Elephas maximus indicus: one gene and its partner. The protein of the gene in region 1 purifies or fractionates together with the protein of each later gene. This does not show direct contact. Links are inferred from orthologs where the notes say so. Each region holds a gene or a part of one and is shown in the gene's direction. Other genes may lie near its edges. The genes, in order: DCAF4 and COPS5.

Region 1 (8,029 bases):
CTGACCCATTTCTTGTTACTTTGTTTGCAGATTTGGGGATCCTCTGTTCCCTGTCTTAACCGGGCATTGCTCAAATTGCTGCCCCCTGAGGGAGTTTGCTTCAAATTGCACTGCTGTGTTACCTTAACTTATTCAACAGTTCAGAAACCTAAAAAATGATTCTGAAATCTTACCCTTGAATGTTTTATCTTACCCATTTTTATTCCTCTTAGAATTTATGTCCTCACTTCGCAAGTGTAAGAATGATTGTTCTGGCTGCCTGAACTGCACGATCTGCTGGGGGCTGGAGGCCCCAGCTGTGCTTTCTCTGCCTCTGACACCTCCCTTGGCAGTAAACAGAAGTCTATCAGGCTTTCCCTAATGATTCCTACAGCAATGGGCATCGGTGCAGCTCATTAATAATGGCACTAGCACCATGGGCTACAGGGAACAAATGTCTATTTGGTTCTAGAAAATGAGCCAATTTCATCATTAGACACTGGCCAGAGTGATGTGAAAAGAAGCCAAGTATAGAAAGAGAATCTTATTTTGCTGAAGACTCCATTGATTCTTGGTCTCCTTTGAAGGAGCTGCAGCCTCAGGGGAGAGGTAGGGAAATCACACCCATGCCTCAGGATGGAAAAACAAATGCCTGGCAAACCTCCCTCTGCAATTCTCCTTGACCTTTCCAGGTCTTTCTCAAGGTGGTGCTGCTAAACTGCTGGCATTTCCACTGTATCTGTGGAAGAAGGTTGCAATGCAATATTTTGGCTTAGTTTCACTGATTTATTGAGTAGTCGCCATGGGTGAGGCACTGTTCTAAGTGCTTTATGTGTTCCAAGTACATTTAATCAGCACACTGATATGCTTATTATCCTCATTTTTCAGATGGGGAAAATGAGGCTCAGAAAGGCCAAGCACCATGCCCAACACACCATCTCTAAATTGTGATGCAACTGGATTCGAACACAGGACTGGCTCCACAGTACGGAGCCTTAACGTCTAGGATGTATTTCAAGTGATCATGAACAGCAAGCACTAAGCAACATTTATGAAGTGTCTTCCTTCCAATGTACAAAACATTTTCAAATACATTGTCTCATTTTCTCCGTAGTTTAATACTTTTATAATCTGGAAAGCTGGGAGCACGGTGCCTCAAATTACCTCTTAATGCATAAGAGAGGAGACAAATTTGGGACAGAACAAGGAAGAAATTAATTTTATAATCAGTGTTGGTTCATCTGAGAAATGGAGGGGAAGGGACACAAGTTAGAGCTAAAGAGGTTCCTTACTTTAGCCTTCTTGGTTTACCTGACTTTGTAAATCTGTGATCCCAGAAAAAACAACCAAAAGATTACATTCCAGGCCCTCATGGCTTCTTCTGTGACCAGGAACTACATTCCCATCAGATTTTTAAAAAGCCTCCCAGGCACATACACACATAGTTCCTAATTTCAGCTCCGCTTTAAGTCCTTCTGCTGTTTCCCAACACTAGGCTGAAGATGAACGCTTCCCCACACCCCTTCTCACATCCCCTAAAGGCAATCCTCCTCCTGTCAGTGTTTAAACAGAGGTTCCAGTGCAGAAGAAACCAGGGAGGCAGTAACACCTGGAACAGTTACATGCCTCGATTTTTTTCCTGTCCTGATATCACCCTGTTTTTGCAGACTTTTTGTCCCCCCTTCTCTTAGCCTATAGCTTTTCATGCTTATAAAGCCGTTGACACTGATAAAGTCAGCCACGGAAAACAATACTCATCCTTCTAGTGTTCTATCTCGCGGAAAAAATGAGTGGTGCTCTTGGAAGCCATCGCAGGTGTCCTTTCTGCGGCCCCTCCTCTTTCTCTTCTCTAAACCATCCTTGGAAGAACCCACACTTACAAATGCTAAACAGGGGTGGGGGGAGTTTAAAAAATTATGGGAAGAATTCTCCAAACAGAAGCCCAATTCTGGGCACCAAGGGGAGAAGGTAATAAAGAAGGTGGAAAAATAGGCTCCACAGTGGCCTGTGTGTGCAAGAAAGGGCCCCACTGACTCCCTGTGGCTGAGACCCCTCCTGAGGGTAGTGCGTGGAGAAATGCATGGCTGAGGGTGAAGCCTGATAAAGGAAATGCAGTTCTGAAACATAAAAGAAGCCAGAAAAACAGCATTACTTGGCTACTCTAGATGCCTGGGGATGTAGAGTCACAAGGTGTGCATACCACCCATTTTAATGCACAGCCCAGGACACTTAGGCATCAGGGTAGGGGCAGGGCAAAAAAACAGAATCCATTCAGCACTCAGTTATGGAAGGACAAGTCTGGCTATTGTTTTCTTTTTTTGAACTAATCAGACTGAGCTTTTTCTAGAAAAGTATATAAACAAAACAAAACAAAAAAACCCAAACCCATTCCTGTGGAGTTGATTCCGACTCATAGTGACCCTACAGGACAGAGCACAACTGCCCCATACAATCCCCAAGCAGCGCCTGGTGGATTCAAACTGCTGACCTTTTGGTTAGCAGCTGAAGCGCTTAACCACTACTCTCACCAGGGTTTCCAGAAAAGTATATAAGAATATTTACTGATCTGGAAAAAAAAATGGTCACAATAATTGCTTAAACAAACAACCCAAAAAAGTAATTTCTTCAAAAAGTTCTTTCCTTAAATAGAATCCAACTGGGATGGTTCAAGAAACTTCAATGAAGGAACTATTAATAGAAGTTTAGCAGGGTAAAGAGGTCCCTAGGTGGTACAAACAGATGGTACATGTGGCTGCTAACTGAAAGGTTGGTGGTTCAAGTCCACCCAGAGGTGCCTTAGAAGAAAGGCCTAGGGATCTACTTCAGAAAAACTAGTCATTGAAAACCCTATGGAGCACAGTTTTACTCTGACATACATGGGGTCACCATGAGTCTGAATCCACTGGACGGTAACTGGATAATGGCTGGGCAAGGTAAAGGAAAAACAAGCAAACAAAAACCTGTTGGGGCACCCAGGGGCTGGCAACTGTAGAAAGCTACTACCATCTGAAGGCTTGAAGGGAGGGGAGAGAGAGAAAATGAAATTCCTGAAGCCTGCCGGGAGCTGGACTCTGAGGAGGAACCACTGCCTGAAAACATACCCCAGGGCAGGGAGGGAGGAAGCAATATTCTGATTTCTTTCTCTCACCCACCTATCTCCTGCTGATGCCTCTCATTGGTTGAACTCGTTCAGAAGTCAGATGGCAGGGAAGCCCAGGTACATTCCGTGGATTTGGAAGAGCAGGGCAAAAACGGGCAGAAAGTGCAAGGGGTTGGGGGGAGATAATGTATGCCCAGCCCAACACAGGACCCCAGTCACTTTCTATCACAACACATTCACAAATTCAAATCGAATTACAAATTCAATAGATTTTAGTATATTCACAGATGTGCATGTTGAATGAAAAAATCCAACCAATAAGTTACCTAGAGTTAAAAAGTTTCAACTGCAGAAAAAACTGACAACAGAAAGCACCCCTCCAAAGAGGTGAGCTTGTCACATTACAATTTCGATCACACAGTACAAACTGTTTCCTAAAAGAGAAATTTAAAATGATTGGTTGCCATTCCCTGAATCAGGAGGAGGCAGCTTGGACTGATTTATTAACTTTGCATTCTATAGGCTAGTTGTGGCTTATCTATTTCAGCTTTGCCCAAAACTGTCTTTATCACGACAAGTTTTTAAGTTTCTGTGAAAGGTTATGTTTAAACAAGAAGGGGGGGGGGGAGGTGTCACTTTCTTTACAACATGAAACCATCACCAGTCAATTTTAGAACATTTTTATCATCTTAAAAAGAAACCCATACCCTTTAAGTATCACCCCCTTATCCCTCACCCCATAACCCCAGACCCGGGGACCCACAACTTACTTTCTGTCTCTATAGCTTTGCCTATTCTGGACGTTTCATATGAAAGGACTCATATAATGTGGCCTTTTGTTTGGCCTCTTTCAATTAGAAGGTTTTTACGGTTCACTGACGTTGCAGCATGTATCAGAACTTCATTTCTTTATACGGTTGAATAATATTCCTTTGTATGGCTACGGAAACCCTGGTGGCCTAGTGGTTCAGAGCTACGGCTGCGAACCAAAGGGTTGGCAGTTCGAATCCGCCAGGCGCTCCTTGGAAACCCTATGGGGCAGTTCTACTCTGTCCTATAGGGTCTCTATGAGTCCGAATGGACTCGACAGCACTGGGTTCGGGTTTGATGTATGGCTATACCGCATTTTGTTAATCCATTCATCTGTTGGTGGACATTTGGGTTGTTTCCACTTTGTACTGAATTCAGCGCTGGTGAGAACGACAGAACGTTAGATCAACTTCCCTGATTCAACTGAGGAAACTGAGACCCAGAGAACGGAAGAGACTCACACAGCAAGTAAGAAATGAACTAGAGGGAGAACCCCGGTCTCCTGACTGCCAGTTTGGGGCACGCTCCTCGGCACGTCGGAGTCACGCAGGCTTCATGTCAGCTGCCTCAGACACCTAAAGTCACTGCCAAAGACGGCACCCTCTTCCTTTTGCTCTCCTTCATCTCAAAACCTCCTTTGCCCTTCCCCCAACACAATATTCCCCTCTCTCTCTCCAAGCCTCAGACTTGAAGCCAGAGGCCCCAAGAGGCGAGAGGGCTTCGGGGGCCGGGTCGTCCGTCGGCTGCAGGCAGAGAAGTAAACGAGCTTCGGAGGAAGACCCTTTACTTCAGAGCCAGCCGCCTCGGAGCCCCGCAGCTCACACAGCAGCTCCCGGCCCCCGCTCGGCCACGCCTCGGCCACGCCCCCAGCCGCGCCCGGCTCAGACCGGCCTGCAGACACGTGGCTTTCACGCTTAGGCTTGGGCGGACCCGAACCCCACGCCCCGCCTCCCGTTAGATCGACCCTATTAACGTCGACAGCCAGAAGTCACACCCAATGAGAAGGAAGCGGCGTTCGCCGTGGCCCTATCGGCTGCTACAATATAAGAACGGATACGCCCAACTGGCGGACGCTGCAGCTTGGTGGTTCCGGGTCCCGCCTAGCCTGGCTTTTACCCGTGCCGGGCCGGGACCTAGGGGCAGTCGGAAGAGACCTTCTAAGCCGGTGGGTCGGTGCTGCCTGAGGTGCGCGTTGGCGTCAGGCCGGGAGCGGCTGCTGCTCGCGTCAGGTCTCGGGTGGCTGAGGGCGTAGAGGGAGGCCAGGGAAAGGGGCGGGGAGGAGCCGAGCACGTGGAACGCCGACCTGCCCGTGGCGGAGGTAGGGACCGACCGGGCGGGCTGGGCTTCTGCCCGGGGTGCGAAATTCGTGGGCGTGGAGCGCGCGTTGCCTTGTCGGGTCGGATCTGCAGCTGTGAACACCGGGAAGGGGAAGCAGAAGGGTCGTTTTTCTAAACTCTTATCCCGGAGGCCCCACCGACCGCTTGGTGTTAGGTACCCTTGGGGGCGGTTTCTCCCCTGTTAAAGTTCAGATTGTGATAAGACTTTTTCGGACTGGTCAGGATAACAGCTTAATTCATATTGCCCACTTACTAAATGCTGGGCACTGCGCTGACTACAGGCACTAAGTTTTCCAGACAGCAGCACTATGAGGTATAGGCAGTAGTATCTTTGTCAGGTGCAGAAAGAGGGGTAGCGAGGCTGTAACTCGCGCAAGGTAGCTCACCAACTAGGAAGTGGTGGGACTCTGCCATGAACCAAAGCCTCCTGAGTCCAGACCTTGGGCCTTTAATCTCCACACTGAGTTCTGTGTTATCAAGGAAAGCCAGTATTCCACATAAGTGCTTGCAGAGTCCGGGAATCCTTGTCCCCTCGGTTGACTTGTTGTTAGGTGCCCTCCAGTCAGTTCCGAGTCAGTAGTGACCCTGTGTACAGCAGAACGAAACACTGTCCAGTCCTGCGCCATCTTCACAATCCTTGGTACCTTTGAGGCCACAATAGTAGGCGAGGGAGAGAGATGTAGAAAAAAATTCAAACTCATAAATAAGATCAGACCTACTGGTCTGGTATAGCCTGGGCAGCCTAGTGGTGAAGAGACTGGCTGCTAACCAAAGGGTTGGCAGTTCAAATTCACCAGTTGCTCCTTTGGAAACCCTATGAGGCTGTTCTCTGTCCTGTATTGTACAATGGTTTGCAGGATCCCTGACCTCTACCCACTAGATGCCAGTAGCGTCCTCAGTCCCCTGATCCCCAAAAGTTGTGACAACTGAAAATGTCTCTAAACATTAACAAATGTCCCCTGGGGGGAGGGGGAGCAAAACTGCCCTTAGTTGAGAAACGTAATCTAAAAAGGAATATGTGCCGGATTTCATGCTGTCGGCAGATAAAATTGTTTCCAATTTTGAATTTGAATTCTCATGACGTGTTTGACTTTAGAACCACGTATTGTCAATCTGTGTATCACCACTGTGCTGATAACTTTTCTGTTTAATATGCACAAAGCTTTTGTGGAGAATAAATGAGAAGTTCCTGTCTTAACAATGCAGAATAAAGCTGGGTGTAGTAAAAAATATTTTAACATTAAAGAGAGAGTCCACATGTGGGCACAAGGACAGAACAGTGTGGAAAACATAGAGTGGGTGACCCACGAGAAGCCAGAAAACGATTAATCTGACAGGCAAGAGGAGGATTAAGAGAAAGATATTCCAGAAGCAAGCTGGGGAGGGGGAAGCTTCCCCACAGTTTTCGTCCTGTGTTTGGCCCTGGGGCGCAGACTTTAGGAAAGAAAAGAAGTCCAGAGTTGTTAATGAACCTGAAGAAAAGGGAAGGGTCAAAGGATTTGAAGATCTTGATGGAGATGAAAATGGATTTAATGGGAAAAAACGATTGGAAGAAATGAGCAGAGATAGGTAAGATGAGCGGATGGGGTTTCTCAGTATGTTTTAGAGGCTGTACAGATTGCTGTTTTCTTTTAATAGATTCAGGGTACAGTTTGTCAAAGTGTGTCATCTGCAGACCACTTAATGCGTATTTGCAGCATACACAGATCAACATTTTAAAGTAATTAGAAAAATTACCTCACTTAAAAAGTGTATTGTTCCGTTTTAATGAGAGGAATGGTAATATTTGTAGTTTTTGTATGTAGTAGCTACATATGTGACTACTACACCCACAAAATTTCTCTTAATTCTTTGTATTGAATTGACCCTAACTCAAAATTGAGCGTATCTGCAAAAGGTGTTGAAATGCAAAGATGTCACTTGAAGGGCTAAGGTGCGCCTGACCCAAGCCTTGGTATTTTCAGTTGCCTCATATGTATGCAGATGACACAACCTTGCTTGCTGAAAGTGAAGATGACTTGAAGCACTTACTGATAAAGATCAAAGGCCACAGCCTTCAGTACAGATTACACCTCAACATAAAGAAAAGAAAATCCTCACAACTGGAGCAATATCATGATAAATGAAGAAAAAGATTGTAGTTGTCAGGCTTTCATTATCCGTGGACCCACAATCAACACCCATGAAAGCAGCAGTCAAGAAATCAAAAGACGCATTGCATGGGGTAAATCTGCTGCAAAGCACCTTTTTAAAGTGTTGAAAAGCAAAGATGTCACCGTGAAGACTAAGGTGTGGCTGACCCAAGCCATGGTATTTTCTGTTGCATCATATACATGTGAAAGCTGGACACTGAATAAGGGAGACTGAAGGAAGAAATTGATGCCTTTGAATTGTGTTGGCGAAGAATATTAAATATACCATGGACTGCCAAAAGAACGAATAAATCTGTCTTGGAAGAAGTTCAACTGGAATGCTCTTTGGAAGCAACGATGGTGAGACTGCGTCTTACATACTTTGGACGTGTTTTTCAGGAGGGATCAGTCTCTGGAGGACATCATGCTTGGTAAAGTACAGGGTCAGCAGAAAAGAGAAAGACCCTCAAGATGGATTGACACAGTGGCTACAGCAATGGGCTCAAGCATAACAACGATTGTAAGGATGGCGCAGGCTCAGGCAGTGTTTCGTTCTGTAGTGCGTAGGGCAGCTGTGAGTCAGAACCAACTCGATGGCATCTAACAACAATATACGTATGTGAGAGCTAGAGGATGACTAAGAAAGACCAAAGAAGAATTGATGCCTTTGA
Region 2 (7,700 bases), on another chromosome or scaffold:
GTAATTTTGAGAGCCAGCCTCTTCCAAAAGATGAGTCCTATTGCTACCTTTACAAAAACTGGACTTAAGTCACAGATAACACTAAAATGAAGGCATTTAGAAAAAAGAAATTCTAGCTCAAGAAGCCAAGCAATCACAGAAGTAAAACTGGATAATAATAGCACCTATCTCATAGGGCCGTAGTGAAGATTAAGTAATTACTTGCAAAGGAAAGCTCTGGGAACAGCGCCTGGCGCACCAGCACTCAACAAACGTTAACCACTAACCAGCACCCAGGCGCTCCGGGGGGCTTCGCCGAGCTACGGAGCCGGGCGAATGCGGAGCGAAGACGCCCGAAAGGGAGGACATGGACCGTCCCAGGTGGCTGGGGGTGAATGCCTTTTTAGGAAGCGTCAACGCGTAGTCAGGCAACCGGGTCACAACAAGACGCAGGGCTACAACCCCCGTGTCAGGGCTGCGTAATCTAGGCACCTCCCCCGTTCCACCCCGCCACCGCGAGACCCCCGCCCGCAGGCCCAGCCACCCGGACACCGCCCCCGCCCCACGACCTCCGCCACCAAGGAGCCCCTGCTCCGCCGGGCAGACAAGAGACTCCCGTTCCCTCGGGGACCCCGGCCCGGTGACCCGGGCACCGCCCGCGCCTGCCCGGCATCCCCTAGACTGCCGCCCGTAAGGAACCGCCAACCCCCAAACCCGGACACCGCCCCCGCTCTGCCCAGCAGTCGTGAGATCCCCGCACCCTGCCTCGTAGCACGGGCACCTCCCCCGGCCCGGGCGCCGCGAGACCCCCGTTCCCAGCGAACCCTCGCTCCGCGCGGCAGCCGTAAGACCTCCGCCCTTCAGCGAGCGCCGGTCCCCCGTTACCTGGACACCGCCCGCGCCAGCTCGGCAGCCGCTAGATTCCGTCCACGACTCCATCACCCGGGCATTGGCCCCGGCCGGCCAGCCGCAAGAACCCTGTGCGCAGGGACCCACCGCTCCCGCCCCCGCCGCAGGGCCGAGAACCCAGCCCCGGAGGGATCCTTCCCACAGGGCCACACCCGCAGAGCCCGCTCTCCAGCCCCAGCCGGCGGACTCTTACTCAGGAGGGCCGGTTTTCACCCGGGGAGCCGCAGAGCGCTCCGGTGAGGCGCCTTCACTGTCCAGAGAAGTGGCGGCGGCCGCCCGGCGCGGGAACAGTGTGACAGGCCACCCCGCCGGGCTCCGCCTCTCAGGCCGAGCCCTCTGCCCACCCTTTGCCAACGGCCGGGCGCGGACCCGCCCCCACTGCCGCCCTGCGGGGAGGCCTCGAGGCCTGGGGCGCCCCCTGCCGCCCGGGAGGCCGCACGGCCGCCCGCTGCACGTAAGGCTTTGTCTCCTGGTTCATGGGTTCCTTCCTGGGACTCTTAAACCTCTGTGGGAGCCACTTCCCAGGCTGAGTCCTTCCAGAGCTACTCCCGCCCCTAGGCACCGGCTGGGAACAGGGTGGTGGTCGTTAAGTGCCTTGGGGTTCTGACTCAAAGTGACCCTACTGTGTACAACAGAATGAAACACGGTTCTTCACCATCCTCACAATGTTGCTGTGTGTGAGCCCATTGTTGAAACCACTGTGTCAAACCATCTCCCTGAGGATCTCTCTTTCCCTGACCTTCTACTTTTCCAAGAATAATGTCTGTCTTCAGGGACTGGTCCCTCCTGATAAAATGTCCAAAGTACGTGAGACAAAGTCTCACCACCCTCCCTTCTAAGGAGCATTCTGACTGTATTTCTTCCAAGACAGCTGTTCATTCTTCTGCAAGTCCACGGAATATTCAATATTCTTCACCAACGCCATAATTCAAAGATGTCAGTTCTTCTTCGGCCTTCCTTATTCATTGTCCAGCTTTCCCATGCATAGGGAAAAAATTTTTTTTTTTTTTGCACAGGAGGCAACCGAAAACACGATGGCTTGGGTCAAGCACACTTTAGTCCTCAAAGTGACGTCTTTGCTTTTTAACACTTCAAAGAGGTCTTTTGAAGCAGATTTGCCCAATGCAATGTGTCATCTGATTTTCTGACTGCTGCTTCCATGGGCGTTCATTGTGGATCCAAATAAAATGAAACCTCACTCTTTTCTCCATTTATCATGATGTTGCTTATTGGTCCAGTTGCAAGGATTTTTCTTTATGTTGAGGTGTAATCCATAGTGAAGGCTGTGTCTTTGATCATCAGTAAAAGCTTCAAGTCCTCTTTGCTTTCAGCAAGCAAGGTTGTGTCATCTGCATATGGCAGGTTGTTAATGAGTTTTCCTCCAATCCTGATGTGGAGTTCTTCACATGGTCTGGCCTCTCAGATTATTTGCTCAGCATACAGACTGAATAACTATGGTGAAAGGATACAACCCTGACGCACACCTTTCCTGACTTTAAACCATGCAGTATCTCCTTGTTCTGTTTGAACGACTGCCTCTTGGTCTATGTACAGGTTCTGCATGAGCACAATTAAGTGTTCAGGAATTCCCATTCTTTGCAATGTTATCCATAATATGTTATGATCCACACAGTCAAATGCCTTTGCTTAGTCAATAAAACAGAAATAAACATCTTTCTCATATTCTCTGCTTTCAGACAAGATCCACCTGACATCAACAATGATATCCCTTGTCACACCCTCCTGAGTCCAGCTTAAATTTCTGACAGTTCCCTGTCGATGTACTGCTGCAACCGTTTTTGAATGATCTTCAGCAAAATTTTAATTGTGTGTGATATTAATTATATTGTTCAATAATTTCTGCATTCCCCCTGGATCCATTTGAGCCTGGAAAGAAAAAAGAGGAGGGGAGAAAGTGAGAAGAAAACTGTTGGCATGCTTTTACGGGGAATTACTCCTCATCCAAGAGTCTAGTCAATGTTATGTCCTGGGCTTTTATTACTATTCTCAATGTTATTCACTTCACCCCAATATTGAATGTTCCAATGTTACCACAAGAAAAGAGATCTCTAACTTCCCAGGAGAGTGGAACTAAGGGTCCTTTATCCTAAAGTACTTTGTAAGGAGACCTTTAAAGGCAAATTTTCTTCAGCTGGAAGTCAATGTGAAACCTGCAAGCCAGGGTGTGGATTCAATAACTCTAATTTTTTTTTTTTAACCATATGCCAGGCACTATACTATAGGGTTGTCATGAGCCAAAATTGACTGAATGGCAATGGGTTTTTGTTTTTTTATTATACTAAGAGTGAAGGAGGCAATGCAGAGTGTCCTGCACTGAGTCTTACAATGAAAATGAAAACTTCCAAGTAAACAAATGCATTTTAAAAATTAATAAAATACACGGTGGAAGCAATGATCACTGGAGGAGGAAGTCAAGAAAGGTTTCATGGTAGCAATCTCTGATTTGTGTTTTTAAAGATTACCACGAGTTTCCAGGCAGAAATGTCAGGGAAGAGAATTTCAAGCGGTGGTGATCGCATGTGCAAACCCAAAATAAATGCATTGGTATTTTAAGAACGAGAAGTTTTTGGGGGGGAGACTAAAGAGAGATGAAGCTAAAGAGGAGCAGAGGAACCAGGTGAACAGCTTTAACAATATTTTTTTTTTAAACAAAAATTTACTGAACATCTAATATGCTAGGAAGGAGCCAAGATGACACAGTGGTTGAAGACTCAACTGCTAACCAAAAAGGTCATCACTTTGAACCCACCGGCCGCTCTGCAGAAGAAAAGGTATGGCGATCCGCTCCCACAAAGATTACAGTCCAGGAAACCCTATGGGACGATTCTATTCTGTCATACAGGGTCGCTAGAGTTGGAATCCACTCCAAGACACAAAACAGTATGTTAGGTGTTAGAGATAAAACAAGGAATAAGACAGACCCGGTCCCCCGTTTTGGAACTTAGAATCGGGGTTGGGGTGGAGGGTGGGGTTGACCTAAAACGAGTAAACTAATAAACGGAATAATTAGACCTGGTTTTTTTTTTTTTTATTATTAACTGTTGGAAGAAAACAGGTTGCTAAAATTTTATTCGGACTCAGGGTCAGAAGAGGTTTCACAGAATGGTATTGAAGATATAACTGTATCTATTATAAAAACAGTATTGGACATTTTCAGGACAGTAACTAGCTCATAATACATTGAATACAGATGCTAATTTTTACAAACAAGCCAAGAGGGACAACCACTGAAGTCCACATGGTTCCATACCTACTCCCAACACTAGAGGACGTGCATCTGAAAACGGTGCGCCAAGCCGCCCACTTCATTTTACGCATGTGCAGTTAGTCATCTTGAAGTAAAACAGGATGACTTTATCTTCCTTTCAACCAGCATCCGGAACTAGGTACATCTCAGCCTTCCACAGACATCCTTATTTTTTAGTTATTCAGGGAACCTATCTTATTTAAGATAACCTACAACCTCACAAAGACACTTTTTCCCCCTATTATGGCTGAGGCCCTACCCATTTTTAATATGGCGGAGATCGAGCCTGCGCAGTACCAACAAAGAAGGCTAATTCCAAGTGCTGGCATAACGCGTGCATGACCTTCTTCCGGTGTGGAAGGCTGTACCATTCCCAAGCCCGATTATTGTGTTTGTTCTAACTCACACCTCTAATTTCGAGTGGATATGTTCTCATTTCAGCCACAAGGATATTTCTCTTTCCCTATTATTGTAACTGCTGTTTATACCGTCGCTTCCCCGAAGGGCCCCCGCCATCCCCGAATGGTCTGTACCACCTTCACCTCCGGTTCTAGGTGTCATGGCAGCCTCGAGAGTCTTGTAAGAGTGTAAGACCGGTGAGGGGGGAGGGTTGGAAGCCCTCGCCCCGAGACCTAGTGGGGTAAAGTTGCGTCTTGGTTGTGGAGGCAACAACTCCGACTCCTTGGCCATGGCGGCGTCTGGGAGTGGTATGGCCCAGAAAACCTGGGAATTGGCCAACAACATGCAAGAAGCTCAGAGTATCGATGAAATCTACAAATACGACAAGAAACAGCAGCAGGAAATCCTGGCGGCGAAGCCCTGGACTAAGGAGTGAGGAAGTCCCTGGCGAGACGCTGGGAAGGGAAGGGGCGGCGGGGATTTAAGAGGAGGCCCAGGGGGAGTGGGAGTTGAAGGGGGTGGAGAGCTTTGCCTTGTGTTTTCATGGTCTGGGAGGGGAGGGACTGTGCACCTGAGAGATTTCGGTTTACCTTTATCTCTGCTGCTAGAGCCTAAGTTCCTCCGCTGAGGCCTGCCGCGACTCCCCCTTCTGTCTCTTTGACCCATTTACCTCCGGGGGATGGAGGTGGGGAATGAGAAGCGGTGATTTGGGCTGACACGTCTCAGCATCCATATTATCATATATGCCACACACTCTGCCATGAAACCTGTGTGGACATTTACCAAGGTGGGGCCTTCGGCTGATGCCAGCTGGTGACTGGAGCCGTCTCTAAAATAGCTATGAGCTGTCTTTTAGAGAGGTGTAATAGTTTTTGTTTGCTGGTAGTAATGTCAGAGGCACCCAATCTCCCCAAATATTACTCCAGGCACCACTTACCATAAACCAGAAATTATATCAATAAGAGCTTAAGCCACTTTGCCTCTTACAAAGTAGATGTATCCCTGGGAATAAAGACAAGTCGAGTGTTCATCACATCATAGCATTTATACTTTCCTGAGGGAAGATTTTGATAGACAGTAAAAAGAACACAGAAAGTTACTATCTAGGCAGCGGTTGAATTCTCACCTTCCACACAGGAGACCTGTGTCGATTCGCACCAATGCACCTCAAGCAAAGCCACCACCCATCTGTCAGGGAAGGCTTGCATATTGGTATGATGCTCAGTAGGTTTCAGTGGAGCTTCCAGACTAAGATGGACTAGAAAGAAAGGCCTGGCAGATCTACTACTGAAAAACCAACCACTAGAAACCCCTATGGATCACAATGGTCAGATCCCATTGTGCATGATGTGACTGAGTCTGGGCCTACTCCATAGCAGCTAACAATGGACAGATAAGAAGGAGAGCTGTGGTCACCCACAGAAACTATATTTCCATCAGTGACTCCATGGCACTGGGTTTTTTTCCCCAGTTTTGTACAAGGCTGGCTTTAATTGACAGTATCTAGATTCAGCAGTGTTTACTGAGTACCTAATAAGAGCCGAGCACTGAGCTAGGTAGGAATTTCCATATGTCATTTAATCTTCCTGACAACCTAGTGCTATATATTCTTTTTTTGTAAATAAGAATACAAGTAAATATATTCAGTAACTTACCTCACAATGACACTGAGCAGTGAACACAACTCAAGGTCACATCTCAGAGTTGGCAGTGACTAGTTGATTGACCTTGGGAAAATTACTTATTCTCTTTGAGTCTTCAATTTTTTTCTATAAAACAGAGATAAGACTTACCTCTTGTTGGTTTAATAAAGATTATATCATGTAATGTATAAAAAGGGTCTAGAATGTATGTAACAGGAGCACATTAACTGTGCCTTCTTTTTTTTTCCCCCCAGTAAACAGAGGAGCCAAGATTTTAATTCATGTCTCTGATTCCTAAGACTAGGTCTCCATATTTTTCAGCTTGTGATTGAAATCTGGCAAAGTTTGAGAATTAAACTTGAATATTTTCTGTGGGAGGTCATCTAAAAAGCCTTCTCAGAGACTTTGACTGCTCTATTCAGACTTCTTACGTTGCCTGTTGTCTGCTTACTTCTGTAGCAGGCTGTGCATTTAAGGTTGATGTAGTCCATTTGGAAACTGTATTGGTTTGCCTCACTGATTATATTTCTAATTAAATTCAGCCTAACATCTTGGGATTCATCAATGAGACCAGAAATGTAATTTTATTCAAGAGTTGTTTAGCTCCATCCACAGATGACAAATTCTAGAATAACGATCATAAGGAAACTAGGAATATTAGGGCTACATTTTTAATTTTGAGGCTTATAGCACAGAGGGAAACATACCTTTCAATACAGTGTTCTTTGGTAGTGCCATAAAAAAAAAAAAATACATTGCCATCGAGCCAGTTTGGACTCATAGCAACCCTATAGGACGGAGTAGAACTGCCCCATAGGGTTTCCAAGGAGCAGCTGGTGGATTCAAACTGCCGACCTCTTGGTTAGCAGCCGAGCTCTTAGCCACTGTACCACCAGGGCTCCTGGTAGTGCCACAGAGAGGTTGATAATTCTAATAAGAGTTAAGTAACACTAAAGTTTCAGTATGTGTCAGGCACTGTGCTATGTACTTTATATACATTATTCCATTTACTTTAACCCTGCTTGCAGGTGGGAAACTGAGGCAAAGACATTAAGTGATTGGCTTAAGGCCACCACTAGTGGCAGTGCCAGGATTCAGACCTAGGCAGATAGATAACAGAGCCCATAGTTTTAATTATTAAGCCAGAAGGTTGGACCTGAGAACAGTTAGGCCTAACCATCCAGCCAGAGTCAGAATCAGATAATCAGTGACTCCAAAATTAATGGAGAAAAAGTCTTTTGAACCAGTCATATAATTCTCTCCTTTCTACTTGGATAGCATATTTAAAAATTTTCAGACTTTTCCTTTCTTCCAAGGGGAAATAAATGCATTTCAGATTATAACATGTTTATTATTTCCAGCTGTCTGCAGGAACTCTGTCCTTTTCTGCTGTTTTTTTCTTTCCTACAATCTGCAGTCTGTCTCCCCTTCCATCCCTGTACATTCCTTCAATATTATCTTCAAATAATAAATGTCCTTTGAAATTGTACTTTTGATATGTA

The links.
Region 2: the proteins of DCAF4 (region 1) and COPS5 purify together in Homo sapiens (affinity purification with mass spectrometry; 4 studies listed by BioGRID and IntAct, counting the BioPlex papers as one, with this or other methods). This does not show direct contact. The link is inferred for Elephas maximus indicus from reciprocal best matches to the Homo sapiens genes DCAF4 and COPS5.

The regions. Positions count from the first base shown.
Region 1 is NC_064828.1:85,745,367-85,753,395, forward strand, and holds the start of DCAF4 (DDB1- and CUL4-associated factor 4), read left to right. Parts: upstream 1-4,902; 5' UTR 4,903-5,054; exon of another isoform or gene 5,055-5,118; intron 5,119-5,157; exon of another isoform or gene 5,158-5,207; intron 5,208-8,029. UniProt on the Homo sapiens protein: May function as a substrate receptor for CUL4-DDB1 E3 ubiquitin-protein ligase complex.
Region 2 is NC_064833.1:75,494,211-75,501,910, forward strand, and holds the start of COPS5 (COP9 signalosome complex subunit 5), read left to right. Parts: upstream 1-4,562; 5' UTR 4,563-4,844; coding exon 4,845-4,987; intron 4,988-7,700. UniProt on the Homo sapiens protein: Probable protease subunit of the COP9 signalosome complex (CSN), a complex involved in various cellular and developmental processes.